Linked DNA regions of Danio rerio. The protein of the gene in region 2 interacts with the protein of the main gene of each other region in a pairwise test. Links are inferred from orthologs where the notes say so. Each region holds a gene or a part of one and is shown on either strand. Other genes may lie near its edges.

What was found.
Region 1: the proteins of klhl2 (region 2) and bcam interact in binary tests that used the Homo sapiens proteins (3 or more experiments, as listed by UniProt). The two-hybrid records come from large-scale screens. The link is inferred for Danio rerio from reciprocal best matches to the Homo sapiens genes KLHL2 and BCAM.
Region 3: the proteins of klhl2 (region 2) and tma16 interact in binary tests that used the Homo sapiens proteins (3 or more experiments, as listed by UniProt). The two-hybrid records come from large-scale screens. The link is inferred for Danio rerio from reciprocal best matches to the Homo sapiens genes KLHL2 and TMA16.

The regions. Positions count from the first base shown.
Region 1 is NC_133191.1:25,331,599-25,342,144, forward strand, and holds part of bcam (basal cell adhesion molecule isoform 1 precursor), read right to left. Parts: intron 9,373-10,546; coding exon 9,190-9,372; intron 9,090-9,189; coding exon 8,968-9,089; intron 8,883-8,967; coding exon 8,738-8,882; intron 6,393-8,737; coding exon 6,280-6,392; intron 5,199-6,279; coding exon 5,057-5,198; intron 1-5,056. UniProt on the Homo sapiens protein: Transmembrane glycoprotein that functions as both a receptor and an adhesion molecule playing a crucial role in cell adhesion, motility, migration and invasion.
Region 2 is NC_133176.1:22,476,196-22,487,227, forward strand, and holds the start of klhl2 (kelch-like protein 2), read right to left. Parts: upstream 5,645-11,032; 5' UTR 5,347-5,644; coding exon 5,330-5,346; intron 1,450-5,329; coding exon 1,324-1,449; intron 1-1,323. UniProt on the Homo sapiens protein: Substrate-specific adapter of a BCR (BTB-CUL3-RBX1) E3 ubiquitin ligase complex that mediates the ubiquitination of target proteins, such as NPTXR, WNK1, WNK3 and WNK4, leading most often to their proteasomal degradation.
Region 3 is NC_133176.1:21,260,771-21,271,846, forward strand, and holds tma16 (translation machinery-associated protein 16), read right to left. Parts: upstream 5,833-11,076; 5' UTR 5,729-5,832; coding exon 5,726-5,728; intron 5,644-5,725; coding exon 5,534-5,643; intron 5,424-5,533; coding exon 5,386-5,423; intron 4,780-5,385; coding exon 4,695-4,779; intron 4,621-4,694; coding exon 4,472-4,620; intron 2,867-4,471; coding exon 2,824-2,866; intron 2,733-2,823; coding exon 2,576-2,732; 3' UTR 1,164-2,575; downstream 1-1,163. UniProt on the Homo sapiens protein: Involved in the biogenesis of the 60S ribosomal subunit in the nucleus.

The DNA.
Region 1 (10,546 bases), on a different chromosome or scaffold from region 2:
AAAAAAATCATAAAAGGTGCACTAATCATAATTGTTATTAAACTATTAACCTCCCTTTCCACTTCGAGGAAAGTGGGGCTCTATAAATATTCCACAATTGTCTGTGTAGTTAGTAATGGCATTTCTTAAGATCCAAACTGAAGGATGAAATCAAATCCCGTCCTACATCAGATCTTTACCAAAAGCTTTTTCACTTAAAAATATTTCACAATATGAGAAAAAAAAACTTCAATTACATGCTGACTTTAAAGTGTGGTCAGACTAAACTTTTAGTTCCTTTGACTCTTTTGACTTTCATTCATATTTATAGGACAAAGAAAGGAAATAGAAGTTCATTCTAATTTTGCAGCATTTCCAGTTTCCAGGTCCATTTTTCGCTACAATGCAAATTCGAATCATGTAAATACATTGGTTTCCTTCAGAAAATGCATCAGCTGAGAATAGTACAATATTTTTATTAATTTGGATACATCATTTATAATCACTGCAATATTCAGTATAAAAATGTATCATAATCCATGTGCTCAGAACCAGGGGGAACTTTAGGAAACCAGGAAAAGGTGTGAACTACACTCATGAATACTGTAAATGTAGACATATAGAGCAAAACCAGGAAATCAACTAAAATGACAGTTTTCTTGATTGCACACATAAGATATGTCAATGAGATGTCATTGAGTGTTACAGTGCAACAAGCTGCAGGATAACACTCTTTAGCAGCCTGGATTCAAGTATTAATACAGGAATTAGTTTAACAGTGACTGCTCACATTGTTAGTGGCCTTGGAAATATCTCAGGAGTTTAAGGAAATTGCCTTGAATGAAATCAAACTGCTTTCAGATTAATCAAAACATTTGATGTGAAGCCAAAGCCAATGAGGATTTAAAAAGTGAGATACTCTCTTCTTCAACTGTCTCATTTGATCTCTTTCAGTAATTCTTAGCAGAATTAATGTATTTCCAAGTTAAAGAAACACAAGAGTGGTTTAATTACAGTATGGAAATTAGTTTGTTTAGACCTTGAGTTTAAGGTGTTCAAATTACATTTGTACAGCATAAGCAAATAGTTATTTATCATATTAAACTGTAAATGAGAATGTTAATGATGCTATTTAGTTGGTGAGTTTGTTTACTGCAAGGAAACTCATTTAGCTAGTTTATGAGGAGATAAGCATTTTTATGAACATACACATTATGTTCAAAACCTTTGTTAATATTCATTTGATTCATCTTGGATACATACAATTGATCATGGATTTTGGAAATTGAAGGATCTGAAGGCTGGAATAATGGTTGTTGAAAATTGATCCAAACTCAAATGTAATATATATGCTAGTATATTTTCTTTACATTTAATCATTTAAAGGGCACCTAGGTTACCCCTTTTTACAGATGTATTATGAATCAAACACACATAAAGGAAGCAGATCACATGTGGTGTTTGTGAGAAATACTACAGTAAAATCTTAACCAATGAGTATTTGATGCATTTGCAGTGTTAAGTTACAACGATGAGTCACATACAATGTCATTACAAAGTTCACGCGCACACACACAAACACACACAGACACACACACACATACCCAGGACGGACACAATATTAAATTTTAAAAAAAGGACTGTTTATATCACCCCGATTTGACCTCCAATTTGACCTCCTATACACTATACTCAAACATGTTTCTGTCCAAACACCATAGGTACCCTTTAAAGTAAAAACATAAGTGAACCTGGATCACAAACAAGTCTTATATTGCAGGGGTAAGTTTTGGGAATAGCCAAAAATAAACTGTATGGGTTAAAATGATTGATTTTCATTTTATGCCAAAAATAATTAGTCTCTTAAGTAGAGATCTTCTTCATTGAAAACATTTAGCAAATATCATTCAACAAACCTATCTAAGAGTAATTTTGGATTAGTAATATGAAAATTTCTAGTTTTTCAGCTTTTAGATGATATTTAAAGAGCCCATATTATACATGAAATAAGGTCATATCTTGGTTGTAAGGGTCTCCAACAACAGTCTAATATGCATGCAAGGTCAAAAAACACTTTCATGGTCTTATAATCTGCATTTATTTTTATCTAATTATCCCAGCGACTCCTGTATGAATCGTCCAGTGATTCATTTGTTCCCAAACCCCTCCTTAGCGCGGAGCTAATCTGCGCTGATTGGGCCGATGACAGTCTGTCGCGATTGGTCGACTGCCTTCAGTCAGAGAGGGAAATGGCCAATAGCTAATCAGCAATTTAAAAAGTAATCACAGTTCATACACGCTCGATAGTGTAGGCGTTGACTTTAGCTGCCACACTATGGCGAGTGGATAGTGCCACGGATAACCTAACGAAGGAGACAGTCGTGTACTCGCCATACCACACACACACAAAAACACACACACACCTCCGGATGACAACGCTCCCGCTTCAGCCCGCACCCGCCAGGTTTTAGCCTGAGAACCCGCTCCGTTTTCTGCCCGCCGCGCCCGGTCCCGCTAGAGCGGAGAACACAACCAAATATCACCCAGTATACAGTCCAGACAGCCAAGATGTCTGTATAAACACATACACACAGCACAAAGTACACAAAGCTCGTTCGTTCGTTCGCTCTCTCTCTCGCTCTCTCTCTCTCTCTCTCTCTCTCTCTCTCTCTCTCTCTCTCTCCCCGCGCCAGATTTCTGCGGCGCGGGAATACATTTCCGAATAAATCGCGGGAGCAGAACTCTAGCACGGAGCTCCATAAACAAACAGCACGCGTCGCGTTTTTAACGTGACTTTGCACGCGATAAGATAATATATCCAGTTAACCTGATACAGTACACGCGGTTACAAGTAACAAATCACAACTAAATACATTTGCAAGCTAGAGTAAACGAGGAAACAACTTTAACCGCACGTACTTACACTTGAGAAATGTAGGAAGAAACCCATCCTGACGTCCATCAGTTACTCTTTACTGATCCTTCCTTTAACAAACTCAGATGAAGTATTCTTTGTAGCATGTAGCTTCCAGAAGTTTCCAACTGCTTGGTTATAATGCTGATGTTTCATCTTTGGGTAGAGACTCAATATATCCATCTGCAGTGTGACTTCAATCGACCGGCATGTTTGTGTGCGTGTGTTTGTGGGTGTGCGTGTGTTTGTGGGTGTGTGTGTGTGTGTGTCTGGGTTACTGCGTCAGAGGGCGGGGCCTCAGGTTTGAAATCTCCCGGGTTTGCGCGTGCACGTGAAAAACTTTGTTTCGTTCGTACGTCATGGCGAAACACCTAATGAGTCGGTATCAAGGCGACTCGTTTGAAGCACTATGATTCGACTCTTTTATAGATGAATCAACAGTTTTAAACACTGTATTCTTACAGATTTAAGCCTTAGCTGGATACTTCACTTCACTTAGAGCTGTGTTACACACTACATGGAGGGGAATTTTCAAAAACCCATAATATGGGCTCTTTAAATCTCATTTTCCAAAAGTTAACCCTGATAGTTTTGTGGTCCACGGTCACATATATGTAAATTAACAGCTAAATATGAATCCTTGAAATTGAATCAATTCCATATATTGACGTAAAATTATGCAGCAGGCACACAACATCATAAGACGTTAACATTAGGTTAGATTTAGGTCATGACGTCAGGTGACCAAAATTTAATATCTATAAGGATTTTTGAGGTCCAATAACCAAACCAAATTACATTAATATTTGGTTGATTTCAGGTTGGAATGGAAAGTGACCAAATCCCAATGTCTGATAGATGTCATAGTGCTATCGTCCACACAACGTCAAGGTGTAACATGATTAGATGCTAATATTTGGTTAATTTTACGATGGACGTTGGACATTGATGTCGACCTGACGTTGGGTACTGATGTAAACCCAATTTTCATTTCCAAACAATGTAATGTATTTATATAGCGCATTTATTGTGTATGGCCATACACCCAAAGCGCTTCACAATCATGTGGGGTGTCTCCACACCACCACCAGTGTGCAGCATCCACTTGGATGATGCGACGGCAGCCACAGGACAACAGCGCCAGTGCGCTCACCACACACCAGCTATTGGTGGAGTGGAGAGACAGTGAAAGAGCCAATTCGGTGGATGGGGATGATTGGGAGGCCATGATCGTATGGGCCGATAGGGGGACTTTGGCCAGGACACCGGGGTTAAACCCCTGCTCTTTCACGAGAAGTGCCATGGGATTTTTAATGACCACAGAGAGTCAGGACCTCGGTTTAATGTCATCCGAAAGACGGCGCCCACAGACAGTGTAGTGTCCCCTTCACTTTTACTGGGGCATTAGGACTCACATAGACTGCAGGTTGAGCGCCCCCTGCTGGCCTCACTAACACCACTTCCAACAGCAACCTAGTGTTCCCTAGTGGTCTCCCATCCAGGTACTAACCAGGCTCAGCCCTGCTTAGCTTCAGTGAGTAACCGGTCTTGGGCTGCAGGGTGACATGGCTGGGGGTAAAATCAAAAATCAAATGTCCCCAAGATGTTGGGGTACAATGTCAATATGACATAGATGTCCTTTGACTGCAGGGTATATTTATTTTTCTATACAGCCTTCTTTCGTATAACAGGAATAAATTACATCTTAAAATGTATTAATATTTTGACAATTTTATTGTTTTTTAAATAAAACTTTTGACTGGTGTTTGACCATCTTTGACTAATTTTGTGTCATATACATTTTTGGTTTGGAGATTTTTATAGGGGTTTTCTCATTGAGTTCAACTGGTCTGTTGGCGCAGCCTGATCATTTTTTTAATATTCTTACAATCTGTGTGGCATAAATTGTATTTTTAGAATTGGCACGCTTGATTGAGGAAGTATTTTCCTCTGACATTGAACTCCTACCTGTATCTAAACATACAATAATATCCACACAATGAAAACCAGCTGGTACAACAAGCACTGACTGTTTGTTGACAGCCCATAGTTTAGCTCTATCACTTGAACACAAGCTGCTATGACACTGATGACAGCATTTATTGAAACTTTGCACTGATAAACCACAATAAAGCTGTATTTGTCTGGTAATGCACTCAATACCTTTGACGTTAACAGTGATGTTGACTTGTTTTTGAAGACCTGGCACTGAAGGTACAGCTCCGACACACACGTACACACCACCGTCAGCCAGAGTCACAGACTCCTTAGCAAATACACCAGTGTTTGACAGCTCCTTCGAGTCCTGTGGTTTACAGAAAGACAACGTAGACACTGAGTCAACTAAGATTTAGTATAACCAAAAAATATACAGCCAAATAAAAATATTTTTTTACTCAAAACTGAAAAATCTGCCATAATTTCCTCCCTTTTCACTTGTTTTCACTGGTTTGAGTTTTTTTAATTCTGTTTAACACAAATAAAGATATTATGAAGAAAGCTAAAAACCTGTAACAGGTTTTTACCTTCCTTTAAAATATCTAATTTAGTGTTCAATGGAACAAAGAACCTCATAAAGGTTTATAATGACTTGAGAATGAGTAAATAGTGAGTAAATTTTCATTTTTGGGTGAACCGTGACTTTAAAGTAATATTTTGAAAAAGAAAATTCAGATTTGCTTGTGTTATTCCAAACCAATAAGACTTTTTGTTTCATGTTCTACATAAAATTCAAGCTATTTTTACTGAAATTGGAGATTTTTGTCTCTCTGCTAAAATTCTGTCTCGTTAGGAACTAAAATGGATTTGAAATGGCAATAAAGATATGGTGAATGGTAATGAATTTAATTCTTGGGCTCTCACCCAGGCAAGAGGTGCATGAAAAAAATAAATATTTGGAAAAAGAAAGCATTGTTGTTTAAGCAGTAGCAAAAAGTGTCAATTACATATGAAAATATGATTAAAAAAGTTATCTTAATTTTGTTGCTATACAGTACGTATTTGACATTTCTGTATGTGAATGATGACATCACATGCTGCACTCGTTGCCATTTCCATTTTTAATTATTGACATCATACGTAATATTAATTATTGTCTCTTTTTTTGTAGATGCTATTTTTACTTAGTTTACATTGTAGAAAGTGTTAAATACAAATGATTTGATTTGACTTTATAATAAGGGGAAAATAATGAGGTTTTCCAACATTCTTCAAAATATCTTCTCTCAGAAAAAAAGAAGCTCAAACTGGTTTTGCAATGATGGCAGACTTTTGATTTTTTGGATGAACTAGCACCTTAATTGTATTTGAGTAATAACAAACAACAACAACATAATATTATAACAAAAACGAGTGCAGGAAAAAATGAAGAGATTATCTTCACTTGCCTTTGTCCACTGCAGGGTGTGAGCTTCAGAAGCCTTGGCCTTACACTGAAGCTCCACATGATCTCCTTTAGAAACAACCAAGGGCCCTTCTGGTTCCACTGTTATGTCGATATCTGATAGCACAACAAAAGAATGCATAGAGATAAACACATCTTTTAATCAACATCTTGATTAAGTGAAATTTTTGCTGTTTGACATTTTCTCAGAAAACTCTTTTCTGATGTATCGAGCCTAGGATGGATACGTCCCATTTATAACAAAATCATGGTGTTTGGATACCTAAGCTAATACAGTCAAGATAAAGATTTTCTTTGTTGACTAGTTTATTGACTAATAAACACATGACATTATTTAAATTGTTTGGAGATTTTTAGAGTTGTAATTAAGGCAGGGAAACACTGTTATTTCCAGCACTGTTCTACATTACAGAGAAATACTAAACCACATTAATAGGTTTTGGAAATTTATTTCTTATTATTTTTGCCTGAGTAATGAAGTTTGCCCTGCATGCTCACAATTTTTTAAAAACTTTTTTGGTGTGTTAATCTAGTCAATAATATTATTCAGAAGGTCATGATTCACAAGAGGAATCAATGAGGAATTGGACATTTCTGTGTTTCTTTAACGGTTTGTTTTTATAACATTGTGAATCATAGATTTTGAACAAATAATGTAATGAAAATGTATTTCTTACTATTCTGAACTTTCGGAATTTCCTTGCATTGATGTAGACATGAATAAGTGTGTGATAATAATTGATATGCTATTTTCAAGTGTTATAATGTTTTGAAGGCGAAGGTAAATATTTCCTTTGTAGTTGATTGTGGTTTATTGAAATGAAAATGAGATTATATTTAATTATCGAGTGGCTGTCTAACTAATGACATAATGTGATTGACTGTGGGACCAGGAAGGCACACACTGAGGAAGGCATAGTGCCGAAACATCTGTGTTTTGTATCACCTGAATAATGTAAAACAAAAACTATACAAAGCAAATATTTAATGTGTGAATTATGATCTTCTGAATAATATTATTACTTTTGGCAATTTTTTTCTTTCTCTAAATGTAGCATGTGTCATGCCCATGTACAGTATGTTATATAGCTGTGTCATATTTATTTTATTAGCCTTTAAATGGCTAATACTTTCACTGCAAAAAATGCTTTTCTTGCTTAGATTTTTTGTCTTGTTTCTAGTCTAAATATCTAAAATTTCTTATATCAAGAAGCATTTTTTAGACAAGCAAAACATATTGCCTTGTTTTGAGAAATAATATGCCAATATTAAGTCAGTTTTTTCTTAAAACAAGCAAAATAATTTGCCAATGGGGTAAGCAAAATAATCTTGTTTTTTCTTTTGACATAAGATTATTTTGCTTACCTCATTGGCAGATTATTTTGCTTGTTTTAAGGAAAAACTGACTTAATATTGGCATAATATTTCTCAAAACAAGGCAATATGTTTTGCTTGTTTAGAAAATTCTTCTTGAAATAGCAAAATAGCTAAACAATAAAAATGCAAACAAAAAACATATTTTGACAAGTTATAATAGCATTATATATATATATATATATATATATATATATATATATATATATATATATATATATATATATATATATATATATATATATATATATTTTTTTTTTTTTTTTTTTTTTTTGCATTTCAGGTATTTTCCATTCTAAAAATATAAATGTAGCATTTGCAGCTAAGTGAAATACAATAAATTTAATATTAAAAACCACAAAAACAAATTAAATGAATTCCCAAAAGTTAAAATAACTAAAGATTGAAAGTATAAATAAGAAATATAATTACAAAGAATAAATTAAAAGACCAGTTGAACATTGAAATGCAACAGTTTAGTTAGATCTTCATTTGGTGAAATAGCCCTGAGTTAAAAAAAAACTGGCATTTTTTAATAAAATGCTCTGAAATAAATAAATTCTCTAAATGACCATATTTCAATTAGAATTTAGAAAGAATGGTATCAGACTTTTACAGAATTAAGCAATTATTAACATCTCAAATAAAAACCACTAATAATAAATGCTGTAAATCCAGTGAACTTGAATTTTTTTATAGGAACTCTTAATTTATCCTCTTTAATTTATCCCCACAGTTGTTTTCCAAAGCATATATGTACAGCCCATGCAATAATAATAACAGTAATTTCTCCAATTCATGAGCATTTTCTCAAAATATGTATTTATCTCTTCTAAAAGATGTAAATGTTAGTGTGATCATAGTGAAATCATTTATTCTTTCAAATTTCCTTTGTCTTAGTCTCTATTTCAGAGGTCGCCACAGCGGAATGAACTGCCCACTATACCAACATATCTTTTTACGCAACGGATGCCCTTCCAGCCGCAACCCAGTATTGGAAAACTTTGTGAATCAATAAACTATTCACATACTTTATTTTAGTTATTATGTCTTGTTTACATACTCACAGTGCACGTTTATGTTTAGAGTTTTATGAAGTTGGACTTTGCTGTCAGCTTCATAATCCATAGCTTCACACTTATAAGTTCCAGAATCCTCCCGAGTGATGCTCTTTTTTTTCAAAGTGCCTCCCAATCCTTCCAGCAATTTTTCCTTATGAGTGAGCGAGAAAACATGAGTAAGAGTAATGACCATTACTAGATCAGTTGGTTGTGATTTGGCATGTATGGTCTCTTACCCCTTTAAAAAAATCAAACTGTGGCTGAGGGTTTCCATCAGTCTCACACTGCATCACCACATCATCGCCCTCTTTGATTGGCCCCTCGTTCTTCACTTTGAAGAAGACGTTTTCTGTTGAATCTGATTGGAGGAGTAATAGTTTATATGCAGTACAGTACATATGCAGTAATGGTGGAGATTTCATTGTGTGTGTGTGTGTGTGTTTGTGTGTAAAACTCACATTGCAATGAGATGTTGAAGTTATCGGAGCTCTCCTGTTTGATCTGGTTGTCTGGCATGGTGTACTCCACTATGCAGTGGTAGACTGATTTAGCATCAGCTTTCGTCAGGTGCATGTACAGCATGCTGGTCAAAGTGTACAGGCCTGAGGCTTCCTTCACCAAAAAATGTATCATGTATGTTTCTGGCAAAGAGAAAGAAACAAGATTAATTTTACTGTAAGAAATCTAAAAGTCTAGGTGGAGTATAGCGGAATGTAATTGGTTTCTTTATTAATTAACCTGGGGTCACCACAGCGGAATGAACTGCCAACTTTTTTAGCATATGTTTTAGGCAGCAGATGTCCTTCCAGCTGCAACCCATCCTTATTCCATCCTTAACCCACCCCACACTCATAAACTACAGACATTTTAGCCTCCCCAATTCAACTATACCGCATGTCTTTGCACTGTGGGGGAAACCGGAGCAACTGGTGGAAACCCACATGAACGCAAGGAACATGCAAACTTCACACAGAAACACCAACTGACCCAGCTAAAGCTCAAACCAGCGACCTTCTTGCTGTGAGGTGGCAGTACTACATACTGCAGCACTGAATTGCCATAAATAAATATATGAAGAGTTTATTTGCATCAACAGATAACACCACTGTTTTCAGTCATATTTCAGGTATCATGTTTTTTTTTATTGAATAGTAATTTAGTTTTTTTTTTTTTTTTCGTTTTAGTAATCTTTTAAATGTTAAAAAAATGTAATTTATGAAAAAAATTAAAAAATAGTTTTTGCAAATTAACTCTTCACATGCTGAAAGATATTAAATATGTCTCAATAATTTTTAGTATTTTGGGTGAATTCTTAATCATTCGAATGTGTTAGTTTATTGTTCAGTATGAAATTATATTATTATTATTATTATTATCATTATTATTTTATTATTATTATTGTTATTATTATTACTGTTATTACTGTTTTTATTGTTATTATTATCATTACTAGTAGTAGTAGTAGTGGTAATAGTAGCAGTAGTAGTATTAGTTGTAGTAATAGTAGTAGTATTAGTTGTAGTAATAGTAGTAGTATTAGTTGTAGCAGTAGTAGTAGTAGTAGTAGTAGTAGTAGAAGTAGTAGTAGTAATAGTAGTAGTAGTAGTAGTAGTAGTAGATATGCTATCACTTGCTACGTTTCTATCCACCTATTTTTATGTGCATTTTAGAGTTGCGCATAAAAAAACGGATGGAAATGCCAAGATGACTCATTGGATGGAAACGTTGCTTTATTCGCACATCTTCACATCCAGTTTTTTTCATAAAGTTAATTTGCATTTTTGGATGGAAACATAGCTACTGTCTGATATGAAA
Region 2 (11,032 bases):
ACCTGTTTTGTCTTCACTGTAGACATCACGCTAGAGAATTATTCAAATATTGGCTCTAAAGTAAGGTTTGTAAAGTAGCAACGGATTCTGCTGTTTTGACGTCAGCTGCAGATGTGAATGGAAGGCAAAGGAAAGCAGTTCCTTGTACAAAAGGATTTTTAGATTCTCTGTGTTTGATTTTCTTTTTATATACATGATTATGGAATCGAATTGTTGCATAAACACAATATCACACTTGTAGCAGTGCGACGTGGCTGTATTTCGTCACTAAGGGTGTCACGATTTCGGTTTTAAATCTAAATCAATCGAAATTCATGCTCAATTTCGATTATCGAATCAAAAAATGGAATCGTTGATGCTGCCACGCCCACATGTCATGTCAGCTTGGCTTGCCAAGCGGAAAAAAGGTTGTTGAAGTGCTTGTTGAACTGCAGACGCAGGAGACCCGTCGACAATTTGCAAGCTCTGCTATGTAAGTATTAAGGTTGGGCCGTTAGAAAAATGCAGGCATCGCGATCCTCCACTCCGCCCCCGTTGCAAATCCGCTCGCGAAAAATACACACTCAGGCCCTGTTTACACTAATAGGTCTTAGTTTATAAATGTCATTTTATAACGACAACGATCCACATCTACACTGGCGTTTTGCATTACTAAGCAGCCCTCCTTCCTCACTACCGCTGAAAACGCACATCACAAGACCACACACACAGGCTCACACACAGATGCACACACACACTGTTATGTGCTCGAGAAAGCGGGTACAGGCAGTCAGCGTGTCAGTAGACTACTTCAATCTTTCACTTTCACACTTGTACTAAGTAATTTTAGCGAACACCTCAGATACTGTTGGCTGGTTCCTGTTGGTTGTGCACCTTTTTTACCGACGCCATTATAAGGACACAGATCACTGCCTATTTATGAGTTCACGAAAAAAGTTATTGACAAGTGGTAATTATGTGTGTAACTTATTATTCATTTACTGTATGATTTGTTTCTGATTTTGTTTAATTTTTATTTTTTTAATCGAAAGTCGAATCGAACCGTGACTTTAGAATCGAAAATGTAATTGAATCGAGGACTTGGAGGATCGTGACACCCTTAATCATCACTGGTGAGACACTAAGACACTCGGTCTGCGCAAAATGTTTTACTACAAAAAAAGTAAGCAAAACACTAAGGCACTCGGCCAACGCACGCCTCCGACCCGTGCCAATATACAGCCATATCGCACTCTACAAGTGTGATATTGCGCATATATTTTACATTAAGTTCTAAATAAAGTGAAACATATCATCCCAAATATCGCACGCACGCACACACACCTGCGGAGCTCGTTCATGATCCTGAAGGCTTTCTTCATGTGTCGTGGATTGATGGTGACTGCACTCTGTTTCTCATACACATCATCCTTCAGCTCCACAGCTTTATGATGGCAAAGCTTAGTGCAACTGAAATACAAATATATGTTCATGTATATATAAAATAGACATTCATATCTGATTTCAATGCTTCGGCATATGAGAAGATATTCAAAGATGGCCATAGGATCTATTCCTGTTTATATATATATGGAATAGTAACATTTCAAGATAAGTTTGTATTTTTATGTAATATTAATCAGGGTAATAAATATTACAGATGTAGTGGTCATGTAGTGGATAGTTTATGCTGATTTAGGCAATTACATATAGGTTGTATTATTTAAAAAGGCATAGTTGACTAACATGATTTAATAATTAAACATGATCAAGAATTAATTAATATATATAATATTTACACTCATATTTTTGTAAAATAATTGTACTGTGTTTTATTTTTTGACATAGTATCCATTTAATGTAATGTATTGTATAGTGTGTGTGTATATATATATATATATATATATATATATATATATATATATATATATATATATATATATATATATATATATATATATATATATATATATATATAAAACGCATTTATCGTGTATGGCCATACACCCAAAGGTCTTTCCACACCACCATCAGTATGCAGCATCCACTTGGATGATGCAACGGCAGCCACAGGGCAACGACACCAGTGCGCTCACCACACACCAGCTATTGGTGGAGTGAAGAGACAGTCATCGAGCCAATTCAGTGAATAGGGATGATTGGGAGGCCATGATGGATCATTGGCCAGGACACTGGGGTTACACCCCTACTCTTTGCAAGAAGTGCCATGGGATTTTTAATGACCACAGAGAGTCAGGACCTCGGTTAAACGTCTCATCCAAAAGATGGTGCTCACTGACAGTATAGTGTCCCCTTCACTACACTGGGGCATTAGGACTCACACAGACTGCAGGTTGAGTACCCCCTGCTGGCCTCGCTAACACCGCTTCTATCAGTAACCTAGTTTTCCCATGTGGTCTCCCATCCAGGTACTGACCAGGCTCAGCCCTGCTTAGCTTCAGTGAGTAACCGGTTTTGGAATGCAGGGTGATATGGCGGGCATTTTTCATAGTTATTATAATTTATAATTCATACAAACATCATAATTTTATAAATTATTAATAATTTATTTGGTTATTTGACATAATAACATTTATTTGAAATAGCGGTGATATAGTGCAGTGTTAATTCAAATAAAGAAAATTTAAAAGCCTAAACAAATATTGAGTATTACTTTAACTTTCACATCATAATGAATCAGGAGTGGTCCTGGAGGGCCGGTGTCCTGCACAGTTTAGATCCAACTCTAATCAAACACACCTGCTTATAGATTTCTAGTGTTTTTGAAGACACTGATTGGCATCTTCAGGTGTGTTTGACTAGTGTTGGAACTAAACTATGCAGGACACCGGCCCTCCAGGACCGAGTTTGCCAACCCCTGTACTAAGTAAATAGTCCTACTCCATACATTTTACACAGATACTTCATTCATTCATTTTCCTTCGGCTTAGTCCCTCTATTCATCAGGGGTCGCCACAGCGGAGTGAACCGGCAACTTGTGCAGCATGTGTGTTGAACAGCGTATGCTGGGACATTCTAAATCGCCTAATGTGAAAAAAGCTTTTCATGGCTCAATGAACCTAAACATCAACCAGAGAAACCCAAATTTCTGTCAAAGTAAAGTTTGACAGAAATTTGGGTTTCTCTGGTTGATGTTTATGTACATTAAGCCATGATAAGCTTTTTTCACATTAAGCAATTTAGAATGTCCCCAGATGCCCTTCCAGCTGAAACCCAGTACTGGGAAACATGCATACACATTTTCCACAGATAATGACAATATACAGTTGATGTCGAAAATATTAGCACCCGAATTACTAGCCCCGTTTATTTTTCAGCCAATTTTTGTTTAACGGAAAGAAGATTGCTTCAGCACATTTCTAAACATTATAGTTTTGATAACTCATTTCTAATAATGGATTTATTTTAACTTTGTCATGATGGCAGTACACATATTTGACTAGATATTTTTTAAGACACTTCTAAAGTCACATTTAAAGGCTTAACTAGGGTAATTAGGTTAACTAGGCAGGTTAACAATGGTTTGTTCAGTAGACTATCAAAAAATATATAGCTTAAGGGGCTAATAATATTGACCTCAAAATGGGTTCTAAAAAATTAAAAACTGCTTTTATTCTAGCCGAAATAAAACAAATAAGACTTTCTCCAGAAGAAAAAAAAATCCGACATACTGTGAAAATACACTGTACAGTTTGTACAGTTAAAAAAATAAATAAATAAATAAAAATAAATAAATAAATAAATAAAAAAAAATATATATATATATATATATATATATATATATATATATATATATATATATATATATATATATATATATACATATATATATATGAGCAATTCCAGCATTATGTATGTGACACTTGCAGTTAAAACTCAAAACATAAATTCACATAGAAAGTATACATTAACATTATGTTGACACATCTGTTTATATTTTCCAAAACAACTAGCCACAAAGTTATGGGATCAGAAAAATATCAATCTGTAAACATTTTTTATACTTTAAATAAGGAAAATAAACATGCATTATGGATGTGACAAAGAAAAGTTTGCGAGTTTACAGTATACAACATACTTTGTAGAAAATCTGTGAATTAAACTGCACAACCCAAAAGAAACAAACAGATATGAGTCGGCTCACTATAGAACAAAAATTAATGATTTTATTTTATTTGACATTTTTGCATTTATGAGGAAAAAGTGTCGTTATGGATGTGACACATTTCCATTATGGATGTTACAGTTGTGAAATTGCCACTTGTGTGATTTTGGTAAATTAAATATAATAGTTTGAAACACTGAAAGATACATTTATGAACTTTTAAAGTACTGTAAAATACTTGCTCACACAAAAACTGTACAAACGGTTTCTCTATTTTGGTGAAAACTTAATTTTTTTCATGGCAAGGTTGACATTTGCATGGAATTGCTCATTATTTTTTTTAATCAGGGCTGCACGGTGGCACAGTGGGTAGCACAATCGCCTCATAGCAAGAAGGTCACTGGTTTAAGCCTTGGTTGGGTCGGTTGGCATTTCTGTGTGGGGTTTGCATCTTCTCCCCATGTTGACGAGTGCTCCGGTTTCCCCCACAGTCCAAAGACATGCGGTAGAGGGTGAATTGAATAAGCTAAATTGGCCGTAGTGTATGTGAGTGTTTGCAAGAGTGTATGGGTGTTTCCCAGTGTTGGGTTGTGGCTGGAAGGGCATCTGCTGCCTAAAACGTGGTGGATAAGTTGGCGGTTCATTCCACTGTGGCGACCCTTGATTAATGAAGGGACTAAGCGAAAAAGAAAAATTATTTTTAAAGAATGGTTTTAATCATTCATTTATTTGCTTGGCACAGTTGGCAGTTAATTGTCAACACAAAAATTATGCTAATGGGCTAACAGTTATCATTAATATACATTATTAATTGATCTTCTACATGTTTACATACCTAAAACTGCATAATTACAAGCAGACGACTAAAAAAAAAGTCACCACAAAGCAAAAATGACTTTCCTTGTGAAAACATTTGGCCACCACAATGCAAGGTTTACCTGGACCACACACACACACACACACACACACACACACAATGTCTTATCTCTACAGTGGCCATATGGCAGTTATCAAATGTGACATATGTGAATTGCTGAACATGTGACAGAAAGAGTGTTGGTGGTGTGTGGACAAAGACGTGATCATGTGATCTCATGGCTGAACTGATTTACTCTATATTGACATTACAGTAGTGTGAACACATGCAGCTCACACACACACACACACACACACACACACACACACACACACACACACATACACACACACACACGGAGCTCTTACAGTGGATGTATCTCCATAGCGCTGGTCTTGTTCACATCAGTCTGCGTCTCTCCATCTCTGGCCGGACTCTGTCGTTTAAATCCCCGCTGTGTCCCGTCCACCGAACCAAGCCAAACCGGGCTGTGCTGAGTCCCGGTGTGCGGGTCCAGCTCCGCGGAGGAGGGTGAAGGTGGTCCGCAGAGAAGGTGTCGGTGTGACTGACGTGTCCGGGTAATGAGCGACAGACAGGTCCGCTGTGTGGGTGAAGAAGACAGGACACATCCAGAAACGGAGACGCTACAGCTCACATACAAAAACAAGAGTGAAGGAAAGACTGACACTCTCCTTCGGCGGAGAGCAAAACCAAGTGCGGCGCCACAGCGACCACTGCTGCTGGAAGACCACATGACAGACCGCTTCATATGAAGGTAATTCAGTTGCGAAACTCGAGAGCTTGCAAATGTAAATGTGAGCACTTGTAATAATAATATTTGTATGTGTAGGTTGAAATGTACACTTACAGCTCTGATGTGAACAGCTGAAATCCTCGATTTGCACACACACACAACAATCCACACACTTGTGTTTTAAATTCGAAGTTGCAGATTAATAGTTGTGTATTTGTAAAATGTCATTCACAAATACAAAGTGACAGACACACGTGTGCACGGCAAATTTGACTGCATCTTCGCTCTACAACCACAGGTCGGCACTCACAACCTCTCAGATTCGTCAGTACAACTACAAATCTCCCGCGCTCTGACTTTTGCTACACATCTCCCGCGATCTCTGTAGCAGAACTCATCTGTGCACTCGCAGATGCAGAGGCGTGAGCAGCGTGGGGCGGGGGAGGGGCGGGGCTGGTGTAAAGCTGTTTGATTGGCTGATGCCTGACCAATGAACAATGCCAGCAGCCAACAGGACTGAGGTGCAAAATAATCATTTCCCACGATTATTTTATTATTTAGGGTTTTAACAACTCTTTTCTGAAGAGATTTTTGTTAAAAATCATAAATTCTGTGGAAATGTACATACCAGTAAAAGAGCAGCAAAGCCAGTTTATTGGCTACAGCCAGCCAATGAGATGGGGCGTTTCTGTTTGTCAGCACACAGGGCAGCTCACGTTGTTGGAGGCCTCGAGCAATCAGAGGGTAAGTTATGATTTTTAATAATTATCTATATGTTCAATACTGTTAGCTAAGCTAAGGACTGTGCTGGGTGCTTCTCTTGTTTGTTTTTTATATAAGAAACAGTTATGAGTTATCTAGGAGCTGCTTTCAATCATGTTATATGGTTCTAAAGATACGATTCAACCCACATGAAATAAGAAGTTGTAATAGTATTTATAGTAAATAATATTACGTTTTTGAACCATACTAACTATAGTAAACTGTATTAAACAGTATATATTGCAGTATCTACAACTTTGTTAATGAATGCAACAGCACACTGTAGTATTAACTAGCATGAACTGTAATAAATTGAAGTATACTTGTATGTATGTATGTATATATATATGTATATATATATATATATATATATATATATATATATATATATATATATATATATATATATATATATATATAGCTTAAACTTGAAAAAATTGAAATATAGCTATCTGTTTAAAACTAAACATTCTAATGCCATTTATTATGCAAATATCAAGTTGAAACAAATCTGTTAAAAACATGTATTTATATGTAAAACCTAATACATTTTAAAGCAGTTTCATTTCTTTCTAATTTTTACATCTACATGCATTACATCTGATTTAGGTCCACAACTTGCATCCTTCAACATGATATGTGTGTTCAAAGGAAGAGCAACTAGGTGAGGGAGACAGTGTCCATCGCTTGGCTGAGGGTCCACTTTGAGCATCTCATCTGCAGGGTTAAGCAACATAAGCTGAACAGTCATCATCTCTCTCTATTACAGCGAGCATCAACCAGCTTTACACAATGGCTTGCTTTCTGACCTTTAGTAAAGGCTTGAGCAAAGTATTAAAGAGGAGATAACATTTGATGGGTAATGATGAAGTTGGATTTACCACCTCCATCTCATTATGAACAAGGAAAAACCCTGAAATATTTCAATACAAGTAACTAGACATTTGCACTGCACTTATTTGGACTGTAAATTTTATTTGACAAATTACATTCTCTTACAGAACAGGTGTCAAACTCCTGGAGGGCAAACTCCTCCAAGTTCCTGGAGGGCTGCAGCTTTGCAAAGTTTAGTTCTAACCCTAATTAAACACACCTGATCAAACTAATTGAGTCCTTCAGGTTTGTTTAAAACTTTCACTTAAGTGTGTTGAAGCAGGGTTTCAACTAAAAACTTGCAGGGTTACGGGCCTTCAGGAACTGAGTTTGACACCCCTGCTTTACAGTAAAGTGTAAAAATACTACATTAAACAATTATCAAAATAAAAGTTGTGTGTGTGGGTGAGTGTGTGTTTTGTTCAAATCTGTAGTCATCTTGGCAGGTAAAAAGAGAAAATAAAGTCGGCTTCCTCTTGAACGATCTGAATCATTTTGAAGTGTTTGTAGATGAGCTGGATCATCATGTCATCTTTAGCATAAATAACATCCTATTCAAGCTATGCAGCTTCTCTGAGTTCCTCATTGACTTGAAACACGCTGATCTCTCCTGTCACTTCATCCTTACAGGAAACTGAGAAATAACCTATAGTTAGTAACTTTCATAATTAAAAAAGTGATATAAAGGACACACTGTACACAAACATGTAAATAGATAGATGGATAGATAGACATGATGCAGGTTATAATAACAAAAACCGGTATGATCTGTAAGAAACTGAAACGCCTAGTGTTATTTTTAATTGCTATTAATGTGTGTGTGTGTGTGTGTGTGTGTGTGTGTGTGTGTGTGTGTGTGTGTGTGTGTGTGTGTGTGTGTGTGTGTGTGTGTGTGTGTGTGTGTGTAAATATACTTCAATTTATTACAGTTCATGCTAGTTAATACTACAGTGTGCTGTTGCATTCATTAACAAAGTTGTAGATACTGCAATATATACTGTATAATACAGTTTACTATAGTTAGTATGGTTCAAAAACGTAATATTATTTACTATAAATACTATTACAACTTCTTATTTCATGTGGGTTGAATCGTATCTTTAGAACCATATAACATGATTGAAAGCAGCTCCTAGATAACTCATAACTGTTTCTTATATAAAAAACAAACAAGAGAAGCACCCAGCACAGTCCTTAGCTTAGCTAACAGTATTGAACATATAGATAATTATTAAAAATCATAACTTACCCTCTGATTGCTCGAGGCCTCCAACAACGTGAGCTGCCCTGTGTGCTGACAAACAGAAACGCCCCATCTCATTGGCTGGCTGTAGCCAATAAACTGGCTTTGCTGCTCTTTTACTGGTATGTACATTTCCACAGAATTTATGATTTTTAACAAAAATCTCTTCAGAAAAGAGTTGAAATAAACCCTAAATAATAAAATAATCGTGGGAAATGATTCTTTTGCACCTCAGTCCTGTTGGCTGCTGGCATTGTTCATTGGTCAGGCATCAGCCAATCAAACAGCTTTACACCAGCCCCGCCCCTCCCCCGCCCCGCGCTGCTCACGCCTCTGCATCTGCGAGTGCACAGATGAGTTCTGCTACAGAGATCGCGGGAGATGTGTAGCAAAAGTCAGAGCGCGGGAGATTTGTAGTTGTACTGACGAATCTGAGAGGTTGTGAGTGCCGACCTGTGGTTGTAGAGCGAAGATGCAATCAAATTTGCCGTGCACACGTGTGTCTGTCACTTTGTATTTGTGAATGACATTTTACAAATACACAACTATTAATCTGCAACTTCGAATTCAAAACACAAGTGTGTGGATTGTTGTGTGTGTGTGCAAATCGAGGATTTCAGCTGTTCACATCAGAGCTGTAAGTGTACATTTCAACCTACACATACAAATATTATTATCACAAGTGCTCACATTTACATTTGCAAGCTCTCAAGTTTCGCAACTGAATTACCTTCATAGCTTCATGACAGCGTGTGTTTGTGCGCGCGCGCGCGCGCGCGCGCGTGTGTGTGTGTGTGTGTGTGTGTGTGTGTGTGTGTGTGTGTGTGTGTGTGTGTGTGTGTGTGTGTGTGTGTGTGTGTGTGTGTGTGTGTGTGTGTGTGTGTGTGTGTGTGTGTGTGTGAGTGGTGTGTGCGCGTGTGTGTATGTGTGGTGTGTGTGTGTGTGTTTGTGTGTGTGTGTTGTGTGTGTTTGTGTGAGTGTGTGTGTGGTTCTTGTGTATATTGTGTGTGGTGTGTGTGTGTGGTGTGTGCGTGTGTGTTTGATTGAGTTTATATTGTGTGTGTGCGTGCGCGTGTGTGTGTGTGTGTGGTGAGTGCGTGTATGCGTTGTGTGTGCGTGTGTGTGTATGTGTGTGTGTGCGTGTGTTGTGTGTGCGTGGTGTGTGTGTGTTTGTGGTCGGTGTTTGTGTGTGTTTGTGGTGTTTGTGTGTGTGTGTGTGGTGTGTGTTTATGTGTGTGTGTGGTGTGTGTGTGGTATATGTGTGTGTGTGTGGTGTGTGTTTGTGTGTGTGTGGTGTGGTGTGTGTGTATGTGTGTTTGAGTGGTGCGTGTGTGTGGGGTGTGTGTTGTGTGTTTGTGTGTGTGTGTGTGTGGTGTGGTGGTTGTGTGGGGTGTGTGAGTGGTGTGTGTGTTGTGTGTGGTTTGTGTTGTGTGTGTGTGTGTGTTTGTGTGAGTGTATATTGTGTGTGCGTGTGTGTGTGGTGTTTGTGTGAGTGGTGTGTGTGTTGTGTGTGTGTGGGGTGTATGATGTGTGTGTGTTGTGTGTGTGTGTGCGGTGTGTGTGTGTGCGGTGTGTGCATGGTGTGTGTGTTTGTGTGTGTGTGTGTGGTGTGTGTGTTTGGGGTTGTGGTTTTTGTACATATTGTGTGTGGTGTGTGTGGTGGTGTGTGTGCGTGTGTGGTGTGTGCGTGTTTGTTGTGTGTGGTGTGTGTTTGTGTTTATGTGTGTTTGTGGTGTGTGCGTGCATGCGTGTGTGTGGTGAGTGCGTGTATGTGTTGTGTGTGTGTGTGTGTGGTGTGCGTTTGTGTGGTGTGTGTGGTGTGTGTTCGAGTGTATATTGTGTGTGCGTGTGTGGTGTGTGTGTGTGTGAGTGGTGTGTGCGGTGTTAGTTTGTGTGTGTATGTGTGTGTGAGTGGTGTGTTTGTGTGTGTGTGGTGTGTGAGTTGTGTGTGTTGTGTGCGTGTGGTGTGTGTGTGTTGTTGTGTGTGTGTGGTGTGTGTTTGTGTGAGTGTATATTGTGTGTGTGTGTGCGGTGTGTGTTTGTGTGTGTGTGCGTGGTGCGGTGTGTGTGTGTGTATGTGTGTGTGAGTGGTGTGTGTGTGTTTGTGTGGTTTTTGTTTATATTGTGTGTGTTGTGTGTGTGTGGTGTATTTGTGGTGTGTGTGTGCGTGCGTGCGTGTGTGGTGTGTGTTTGTGTGTGTGTGAGTGGTGTGTGCGTGTGTGTGTGTTTGTGGTGTGTGTGTGTGTGTGTGTGGTGTGAGTGTATATTGTGTGTGCATGTGTTGTGCGTGTGTTGTGTGTGGAGTGTGTTTGTGGTGTGTGCATGCGTGGTGTGTGCATTTTGTGTGGTGTGTGTTTGTGTGTGTATGTTTGTGTGTGCTGTGTGTGTGTATGTGTGTTGTGTGTGTAAGCGTGTGTGGTGTGTGCGTGGTGTGGTGTG
Region 3 (11,076 bases), about 1.2 Mb from region 2:
TTTGTAAGCAAAAAAAATTTTTTTTCTTAGTTTTCCTTCTTTGGTTTGAAAACAGATATGGAATGGACTAAAGATACCATGATTTATTTACCAGCAATATTTCAATCATTAATAAATAATTGCTAGATTTTTCTAAACATGTCTATGTTCATTTAATATTAGATATGAAATATATATTATATATTATATCTATCTATCTATCTATCTATCTATCTATCTATCTATCTATCTATCTATCTATATATATATATATATATATTATTATTATTATTATATATATTTTTTTTAAAACATTGTTTGTGGCTTGAGATTGAGACGGACCTTGAAATGGCTGACTCCCTTATCAGTGCCCTGACTACGGAACAAGAGAGCTGATTGAGACGCACTCCAATTCAAATACATATTTTCAATTTAGATTTTGAATGAAACTACTAGAAAAACTGTGATTTTTTTTAATATTCATATACTACCAGAATTTTATGTATATCAGTGTGGTTGTCACCCCTATGTATGCACAGAACAGGCACAAGCACTAAAAAAGATGTATGGACAACCAAGTAGTTTTTATGTAGTGTACATGGCCATCTAGTGCATTTTATTATATAAAAGGTTATCATATATAATCATGTCTCCAGTCTATAATTAGCATAATGACTTTCCTACTATCTGAGCCATTCAGTCTTAAACGACCTTCTCATTTGTAGTCATATAAAGTTGATGCAAAATGTTTATCTGATTGGCAGCCATATTCTATAACCTAAACCTACATATACTTCTTACTATTTAGCCAACAAAAGGGAACATTCCTACACTCATAACCTGTTCTGAAGTGTTCTAGCCATCGTCTCCTGTTCTGTAGATCAGCCTGAACTCTGTGACATCTGAATTTGAGCAGAGGTGAACATGGCAGAAGGTCTTGAGCCAATCCTCTATAGATCTAACCTTTACCACAGCTGTGTTTTCACTCATCTCTGCTGAACTGTCTAATCAGAGTCTCCTTCGAGTGGAATACAGTTAACTTCAGTGAGTCTCTGGAAAATAAACTTAAACCAAAGATACAAGTGTTGACAGACATGCATTCAGTAGATAGCTTGTTGTCTTTTATAATGTGAATACATTTTCATAGTTTTTACTGATCTGAGTAAGCAGCTGACAGGAATTGATTGTTTTGTTTATAGTTTTAAAGTTGGTTTGAATTTGGTAAAGGAGGCACCATCAGTTCATACCCTGCCTGGTTACTGTAGTTTTCATTTCTATGGGTGAAAATGCATTTCAGATAGATATGGCTATTACAGAAAGCATGCTGTCAGGGTTTTTTTCCCCAAAAAGCTGAAACCTATCTGTATTTTACTGCAGCCATTTGATCAAAATAAGCAGTATCATTTGTTGCATTTTATTTTAAGATGTCTTTGATACTTTGTAATACAATTAAGTATTGTGTAATATTAATTAATTAATTACATATACTTAGTAAAGATTTAAAGATAAAAATGTGATTTGGTTTAGGGTGCGTTACATGTAATTATCCTAATTTTCTGTTTTTTTTTACTGTTTAAATAAATAATTAATAATTTACTGTTTTTACCGCAGTAAGTGCCATCTGAAATGTTATTCTAAAATGAGCATTTTTATCCAGTGTCTAGGTTTAATCATTTCACTTTTATTGTTCTTTTGACTGCCTTCAAGTGAAATAACTGAACATAAACACAGGAGGCTAAGAAACATTTCTAATAAATTTATGAGAAAAAAAATTCTTTATAAGAAAAATTTGAGGAGGCTTTTGCATGCACATTTTTTATAAGATTTCAGATTGGCGCTTAGAGGCTTTTGCATATAAATTCTTAGTGTATAAAAAGGACACTGATAAATAAAAATATATTTCAATGTCAAAAAATAAAAAGTAAAACAAACAAAAAAAGATTTCATCTAAAAATAGCTAAACAAATTGATAACTATGGTAACCAGGCTTTGTTTTTCCTCAGTAAAAGTAAAATTAAAGAATTTAGCACTATTATTAATTTTAATGTAATTTTGATTTTTTAAATATGCAGTAATTGAGAAGCTATGTGTTGAAGGGTTTGAATGAGAACATTGTTTGTTTATTTATTGACATGAAAGAGATCTTTTAATATTAAGGTTTGAAGAGGATCATGTTTTACTATGCGATATTCGGAAAGAATTCAGCTGATTTTACATTTTTTGTATTATGTGATTTTCTGCAATGATGATTTGACATATTAAATCCAGTTTTAAAAATGTGTCATAATTAAGTGAGATTCGATCAATGTCAGTTTTCACAACTCAGATGCACAATATAAAAAACTTGCAAAAATCAGCCAGTGCAATAAACTCCATGAATGTTCAGTATTAACCCATTTCAAAGTCTCTGTTTATTTGTGTGTTGATAGCCCTGTGGTACTTGAAGGACTAAGTTTTCTCCTCACGACAAAATGTTTCTGCAAGAGTCTGGTTAAAAAAAAAACACCAGTAGTATAAAACATCGAGCAATGTCTGGCTCTTTCTGTCCTTACACTCAGCATGAAGTCTATTCCTCTACTGTGTACTGCAGTAGATCTCACAGGTCAGAATCAGAGTCCAGAGATTTATCTTCCTCGTTCTCTTCCTCCATGTGTGTATCTTGTGAAACTGTAGACGGTTTGCTGTCGGAGCCTTTGGCTGAAAGCTTTCTCATCTTAATGCAGGGCAGTTTCTTAAGGTCACCGTTCCATTCTCTGTCAAACACATGCTGACTTTTCAGTACTCTGTGCAAGATGTTATTAACAAAAAGAATGATTTTAACAAAATAAACGATGTAGCAACTACCTGAATATCTTCAGATGCTTAGCATTGATGATGTCAGGAATTTCTGTAAAGTGAAAAAGAGTAAAAAAAACAAAACTTTTTTACTATTTAGTGCAGTTTTTCTAAACCTGACCCACAGGGGGTCACAGGAGAGTCTGTGAGGAAGCTTTAAAAAAAATGAATGTAAACGAAACACATAAATAAAGCTGATTAAAATAATAACAATTAATAGTAATTAATAAAATCATTTCATTAAATATTAATAAATATATAAATATAAAATAAAAATAAAATAACCAATAAAAATGATCAAGATGAATTGCAAAAACAAAAATCTAAAACTTCCAAACAACAAACAAATGATTAAAATGAACCTTTAAAAACTGATTAAACTAAATAAAATAATTAAATTGTGTAATAAAATATAAAATCCGTGTTAATGAATAAATTAACATGAGTAGAGGCAAAGTGTAGTAATGTATATTATCGAAATTTAGAAACTAAACATTTTTTAAACAGTATTCATTTTTTACAGCATGAGTGAGGTCTATTTATAAACTAATTTCAAGAGGATCACCTGCTTATGATTGTTCTCAGCTGGTCTCACATCAGCTCATGATTGATTCTCCAATTACATGATTTTTAAACTCACTATAAATAACTAGATTTCCTATTTGAATATCTTTGTCTTGAAGAACCCACCCCTGCTCCCCCTCCTTTCCAGATGGGTGACAGTGATTAGCACTGTTGCCTCACAGCAAGAATGTCTCTGGTTAAGCTGCGGTCACACTGGAGTCTGATTATGCGAAATTGTGTCGTGCGGCGCTGCGAAAAGGGGCAGGAATAAACAAAATTATTAGGCATTAAAAAAGTGAGCGATTGCTCCATGTTTTAAATTACTGTCCAGAGTGGTCATGTTTTGATCCTCGATTGTTCTCACGCAGTCAAGTGATGCGATTTCGCAGGTCAGAAATCACCAAGCTTGAACTTTGCACCGAAGCAACCTGTGAAACTTAGCACATGATACAACCTGTGAAACTTAGCACATGATACCGAGTTTCCGGCCTGATGCATTAGCGTGCGTATGAATGAAAGTCTATGGGAGGAAAAGCCCAGTGTGACCGCAGCTTTAAAGTCTCTTCTAAACTAGTTAACCAGTTAAGTTTAGTTGTTTTCTCCAGGTTCTCCAGTTTCCTCTCACAGTCCAAAAGACACGCAACCCAAAGTAAACTGAAAATACCAAATTGATACCATAGCCAAGCTATTAGTACATCTTTCCTCAGCCATCCTATACCTGTCATTAGCCAGAAATAAGCTGGGGGGAGTTCATCAAGATCTACCTGAGCTCAAACTCGCCTCTCGTCCTCCAAACGGGAGGGAGCCCAGGACTCGAGGATCTCATTAGCTCAGGGCTCTCTCCCAGGACAGCATGCCACACAAGCTTTGTTATTAATCATCAGCTAAATGTTAAAACTTGAAATGAAGTATGATGCATTTTACAATCTAATATAATTATATTTAGGGGTCTGTGGCATAATAAAACACAGTTTTGTTCCTTCTAAATAGTGTCCTAATTATTATGAGAAACATTTTAGTTCAAACATTTTCAACATGGTTATCATGCAATTCTTATTAAAAGGGAACAAATAAAGACATCTAAATTATTTACCAAAGCCATTGCCTTCATACTGAGCTCTCTCTCGCTCTATGGTTTGCTTGATGATGGCCTCTCTAGAGCTGTGCTGGCGACCCTGGCGGCCTTTGATGCTGTTCGCCAGCTCGATCTGCTCCAGTTCCCCATCAAACCGCTGAAGATACCTGAGAAAGTTGTATTTATAAATATTCTTAATATACAACTTTTTATCATATTTAAACCTCGGGATGTGTCATACCTCTCAGTTATTTCACAAGCATCTTGTCTGGTGTATTCTGGCTTGTCAGGGTTCAGCTGGTTTTGGAACCACAACAGTTTTTCACCTGCAGAAAATGAGTGATCAGCAAACAGGTAAATAATACATTAGATGAACTTATGTTCTTATGCTAATGTTCTGCCAATGTTTTCTCCAAGACACAACCAAATGTTCCTCCAGTAATGATAATTGCATATTAGTTCAAAGCTGTCTTTTATAACCTATCTGGTAAGACAAAAATATTATTTAAGCATCTTTTAGACATTTTTTTTCCTGAAATGTATTATTGGAAAGTTAGGCATGTTAAAACATGTTTTAAAACGTCAATAATTAATTGTCTGGAATGATTCTGAGAATGTTCAAAAATAATCAAACTTAATATCTTTTCTAACGTTTACATAACAAACTCAACAACACTAACGAACTGAATGTTTAGAATATTTTGTTTTGTATTCAACAGAAGAAACAAGTCCTTAAAAATTTGGAACCACATGAGAGCAAGTAAATGGTGAGACAATTTTCATTTTTGGGTGACCTAGCCCTTTAATTGAATGTTAGCAAAACACGTTTCCATTAGCTTTGGGAAAATACCAAAGCTAACAGAATGACAAAAACTTTCACATTCATTGCTTCCACAAATACAATACAGAATAATAAATAATGAACTACTCACCAACTAAATTTAAACGCTGGGCCTTTTCACATTTTAACCTAGAGGTGATTATACAAATGCTACATTAACAAAAATAACAGTACTCGGTATAAATTCATTTGCTTTTTAGGGACAAAAAAATAAATCGTGAATTGGAAAAGGCTCTTACTTTTCTTTCCTCTCTTGTTTGATGGCATCTCTGGCCAGATAGGCGGCTTTCCTGCTGTATGGGTGAATAACCTTTTTCTCCACCGGCCCCTTTGGTTTTCTCCCTTTAGGCTGAAATAAGAACGCCAATTAGTAAACGCGACATTTAAATGTATATTCTGATTATGTAGTCGAAAATGAGTTTAAAACTTACCATATTTGTTAATTTAAGTAAACGTCTATCGTTTACACGTGTGACGTATGGGGGGAAGGTTTAAAGGACGGACCGGTTCAACGGTATTTTTGTTCCGTGTCTTACACATTTACCACAAGCCTAGTAGGTCCCTTATAAATCTAAATTCTTTATACACAAGATAAAAAATCTCAGAAAAACTGTAAATAATATATATATGAAATTGTTCTTACTGCTGTTTTCTTTTTTCTTTTTTGCAAAATTACTTTATCAACCTTTCGTTCATATTTATGACCATAACGTTTATTTGTATAACTTTAATGTTTTATGGTAGTTTAAACATTATGGCACGGTTTGACTTTTTATCCATTGTATATTTACTTTGTACATTCAGGTTTTAGGCATTAATCTTATTACTCTTATAAACTAAATAATATATATTAATATAAATTTAAAATAATAAATTAAACAATTATAATACTTATTTACAAAATTGTCCAACTGCAGAACGGTTATCATTTAGTTTTGATACAAACTTTATATTGCTTTTCAAATGTAATTTTGCATCAGTAATCAAAGAACTTGTCAAAAATAAAGCTTTTAATCTACCTAATATTAATTACTTTACTCTTTATAATTTTTATGTTTTACATGAATTATTATTATTATTATTATTATTATTATTATTATTATTATTTCTCGTTTTGCTTTTTATTTAACTTTACTGTATTATTGTATTTATATTCAGAGAGAATACTATCACGATGTAGAAATGATTTAATAATACATAACTATTTACTTAATATATAAATGCCTTAATTTAGTTTACATAAAGCCAAGCATTTTAATATTAATACGTTAAATACCAAATGACTAAACAGCAACGACCAGAAAATCTCTGCAGAGTGTGCGCACGTTCTGCACGTGCCAAGTTGCAACGGCAGTGTGTGAGTGCGCGTCCCCGTCAGCAGAGCGCGCCCGCGGACTTCTGTTTCTGTTTGCGTCGTCGCTCAGCTGGTGCGAATGTCACATGACTTCAGCATGGATCTTTACTAGAAACCTGCGTCTGAACGCTCGTCCCAATGGGGAAACGCGAAGCCCAGATTTTGTGTTGATGAAAAGCAAAGCAACAGCATGCCGACGTTGCTGCAAAAGCTCTTCAGCAAGAGAGCAGTCGGTAACGGTAACGGCAGCGCCCGGGACTGCTCGACGGGAGCGGAGCAGCGGTAAGTAGGACCGTTAGCACGCGCATGTTACTATACCTATGGAGACACAGTCACGCGCTCTGCACACCTGCACGCGCCAGTCTGTAAAAAAGCGCGTGCCAGTCTGAGCGTTTAAATGACAGTGACGAGCTCTCCGCTGCATCCAGCTGTTTATTTCTATGATAAAGAGCAGAGGCTCGTGCAAGTTTATGATCAGCATTTTATTGTGCTATCACTCGCAGGCCGTAGTGTTATTTGATCTGTACGCGCTGAAGAGTCACACGCACGAGCTCTGCGTCTGGTCAGCTGAGTTATGTAACACCTAGATGCAATTATGCTTGCACAATACCTGCGAGTTTTCTCTTGTTTTTTAAGTGTTTAGCCTATGTCTATTTGGCTTCTGTTGTGCTCCATTTTTTTGTCCCTGTATTCTTGTTAGAGTGACTGGAAAAGGGTTTCATGGGAGAGTCAGTAGAAAGAACACTGCTGGTTAATCACGCCAGATTTGTGGTGTCACCTAAATTTGAGGCAAATACCTGTCAAAACACCTTATTCTAAATGTAAATAAAAACAAGTTGCAGTGTTGTTTTTAATATTAAATGGGAGGCTGTTGTTGATGATTAATTATTTAGTTTTTATTTCACATAATAACTAATGTTTATTTATAATGAATTAATGACGTTTTTATTTGTAACTTGAAAGACATCATCTGTCATCTGTAATCTATAGAAAGCAACCGAAAATATGTGTAACTCAAAAATGCATAAATCGTAAATCCAGAGATGAATTTTTTTAACTGGTCTCTTAATTTTTCCATAGCTTTGTGTGATATATAATTTTATTTAACTTTCAAAATAAGGTACATTTACCCAAAAAACAGTCCACTTGATCACTTTTTTTATTAAAATATAGTTTTTCATTTAATTATTTTTTTTTATTTATTCATTTTTTTCAAGTTGGGTAAATGACAGAATAAAAATTTTAAGTGAATTTTCTATTTAACCCTGTTAATAGAAGTGAAAGCTTGGATGTTGGGGAATGAAAAATTGAGAGAGAAGAATGTGAAAAAAAATATATAAATACAATTTTTAGAAATAAAACTAAATATTTGAAAAAAAACTATTATATTGCAAAAAATTGGTATTGATTTATGTGCTAACATACCTGGCTAACATATGCCTTTATTCAGCAATGTGTTTTGATGGACTCTTTCCAAATACATGGTCGTATGACAATCATGCAGTTTCCTAGAAGGAAGTGAACTGACCCTGTTTACCAACTGATAATACAAGAATACTGATTGCAGTGTTAAATAGGTGGTTCAATGTGACGGAAAAGATCAGTAAAGGGATTTCCATCTAATGCAATCACCTCACAATGAACTCCATTGCTCAAATCTGGCCTGTTTGCACAATTAATTTAGGTCCAAACCAAAGAGTTTCAACATAAGAATATAAATGTTCACTTTTACTTGTATAATAATTTGACACAGGAATAAATACAGCTCTCACAAAACAAAGATTTGTTTACGTAAAGCGGCAACAAAGTAAATTTTTAATGTAAATTTTTAAAAGTAAATTCTTTTTTATGCTGCACTGCAACATGTAGCACATTTTAAGTAAACGCAGTGCAGGGCTGCCGGCCAATATTATGACATATATTTTAAACTCATGTTTTTCAGTTCTGTGTTAGAATTACATTAGATTATATGATTTATTTTTGGAATTTGTAAAACTAGTTTAAGTTTTAAATGTTTGCTTTAAATAATGTAAATTGTAGTACTTTAACAACAAAAGTTATTTGAGTTAGTTGCCAAAGAAAGGGATTATTAACAATACCTACAATAACTGATAATTATATAAGTATAACTAATGATTTCTTAAAGCAAAAGGTGTCAGAAAGTTTAACCTGGTGCCATAAAGTCAATCTGCTGCATGTGACTTTAATATAAAATAATCACTCAGGTGGTCAGCTTGTTGCGTTTTATTTGCATGTTGTTATTGTAACAATTTTTATATTCTTTAGGCTATGGATAAAATATAGTAATTTGAATGGTTTAATAAAATGAAAATGATTTTTGGAAATCCCCAAGCACCGACTCCCACTTTGGAAACCACTTCTCAGGTCTGTTTTGAGTTTAACGTTATTAATCTGTTGTACATGCTTTTGTCGATCTCATCTGTTCACATTAATTTTTATTAACATATTTTAAAGCAAGGCATGTATAATAGCAGAATTTGTGCATTAAACTGCATTACCCATGCAGTGTAGACAATTCAACCAATCAGAGAGTCGCAGAGAGCAAAGAGCAGCAAAAGATTTCTTTATATGATGTGACTGACAAAAATGAGCTGGTATGCTATCTGTGTTTATTACATGGTTTGTTGAAATTCTCTATTCTGATTGGCTGGAAGATGTGTCATAAAATCATAATAGAAATAAATGGAGAAGGGTATAACGGAGGTCAGAGCCAGCTCCATGTGGGCTGTACAAACCTGGAGTTTTTATTTATTTAATGTCTTGTACATGACGCGGAGTCCAATATTGTGCTTTATGAATTTCCCCAACCTCACAGTAACCTGATGTATTTTAATAATATCTGCTCCACCTACACCACCTAAACCCAACTTACTTGTGGTTTAAGTCCCTTCCACTTGGAGATCACCCAACCTACTTGCGGTGTAATCCCTCCAGCTTGGAGGTCTCCGGGCTGCAGCGGTACCTACTGTACCTGAATAAATGTGCTTTTCAAACATTAGTTACCATATTACCTCTGTGACAGAGCCTTCATTCCTCTGTGTAATCTTGAGGACACTGACCTGTTCTTCACCAGTCGATGGGAATTAACCAACTCCAAAATATGCTCAAAAATATTTGCGAAAAGGTAGCTTACCGTACGTTCACACCGAAAGCACTGAAAGAGTCAAAGTAGCCGGAAGTTGTTCATTTTTAATGAGAGCCTGTGGCGAGGAGCAGTGCGGCACGTCTTCGCCGGTGTGGGCGTCGAGGAGAGTTGAAGTAAAGTCAACTTTATGGTATCAAGCTATGACGCAGTTCCCCAGCAAGCAATCAGAATGAAGTAGTCCACCGCTTAAGAGAAATTCAGCGAACACAGAACTGTTCCGACCACAGTTGTTCCTAAGGGTCTGATGATTGCGGTTTACCAGATTTTTAATTATTTACAATGTTTTCTGGCAGGAACATACTTTAAATAAGTTACTGATGTGCATTAATGTTATATATATATATATATATTTATCTTTAAAAAAGCAGGAATCCCATGCGACAGTACAAAATAGTATTGATGCTTAAGGATATTTTAGACATATTGGATAATTAATTTGAGCAAAGCCACACCACACACAACTTGATCTTCCATTGTTAAATGAATTTGATAAGAAGTGCGCAACATTTTCATGCTAGAAAGCAAGTTTTATGCAGAAATGTAACTGATATGACATATTGCAACAGCCCCTTTAGGGCTTACTCACACTATGCTATCCGAATCGTGCCCAGGCCCGTTTTCCGGATCGTTTAAGAAGTGTGTGTGCGCTGAATCGGGCTCAGGCACGGTTCACTTGGCCGGCCCTGGCCCGGTTGGAAGAGGTGGGCCAAAGCCCGAAACTGAAAGCGAGACGTAGCTTTAAGGGACTGTTTCATATGGATTTTATTAATCATTCTTACTGTTCAATGAACGCAAACTGCCCTAGATTATTAAAGACGCAAACCCCTCACTGCACGACAGCTGTGCACCTTCAGCAGACCTCCTCATTCCTGCAGCACGAGGGCTTTATGATTGTTTTTAAGTGCCAAAAGTGGCAGATCTGTTCGGCGAAATATCTGTCTGCGTGTCACCGCATCCCTAAGGACTGTTTGGCGAAAATTTGACTGTGTGTCACTGCATAACAAACGACTGAAACAATATGACTAGAGAAATCTCCACTGTGCTTAGCGAGAGTGCTTACAGAACAGCAAAGCATCGATGACGTAAGCGTGCCCAGGCCTGATTGCAGTGTGAGTGCGGGCCGTCAGAGGAGACGGGAGGGGGGACAAGAGTGCTTTGGCCAGGTTCGAGGCAACTGTACATGGAGTGAGTACAGCCTTAAATACAAGATCAATGTAGCGACCTTGAATGCTCTCACCACATTCGGTGTGAATGCACAGTAA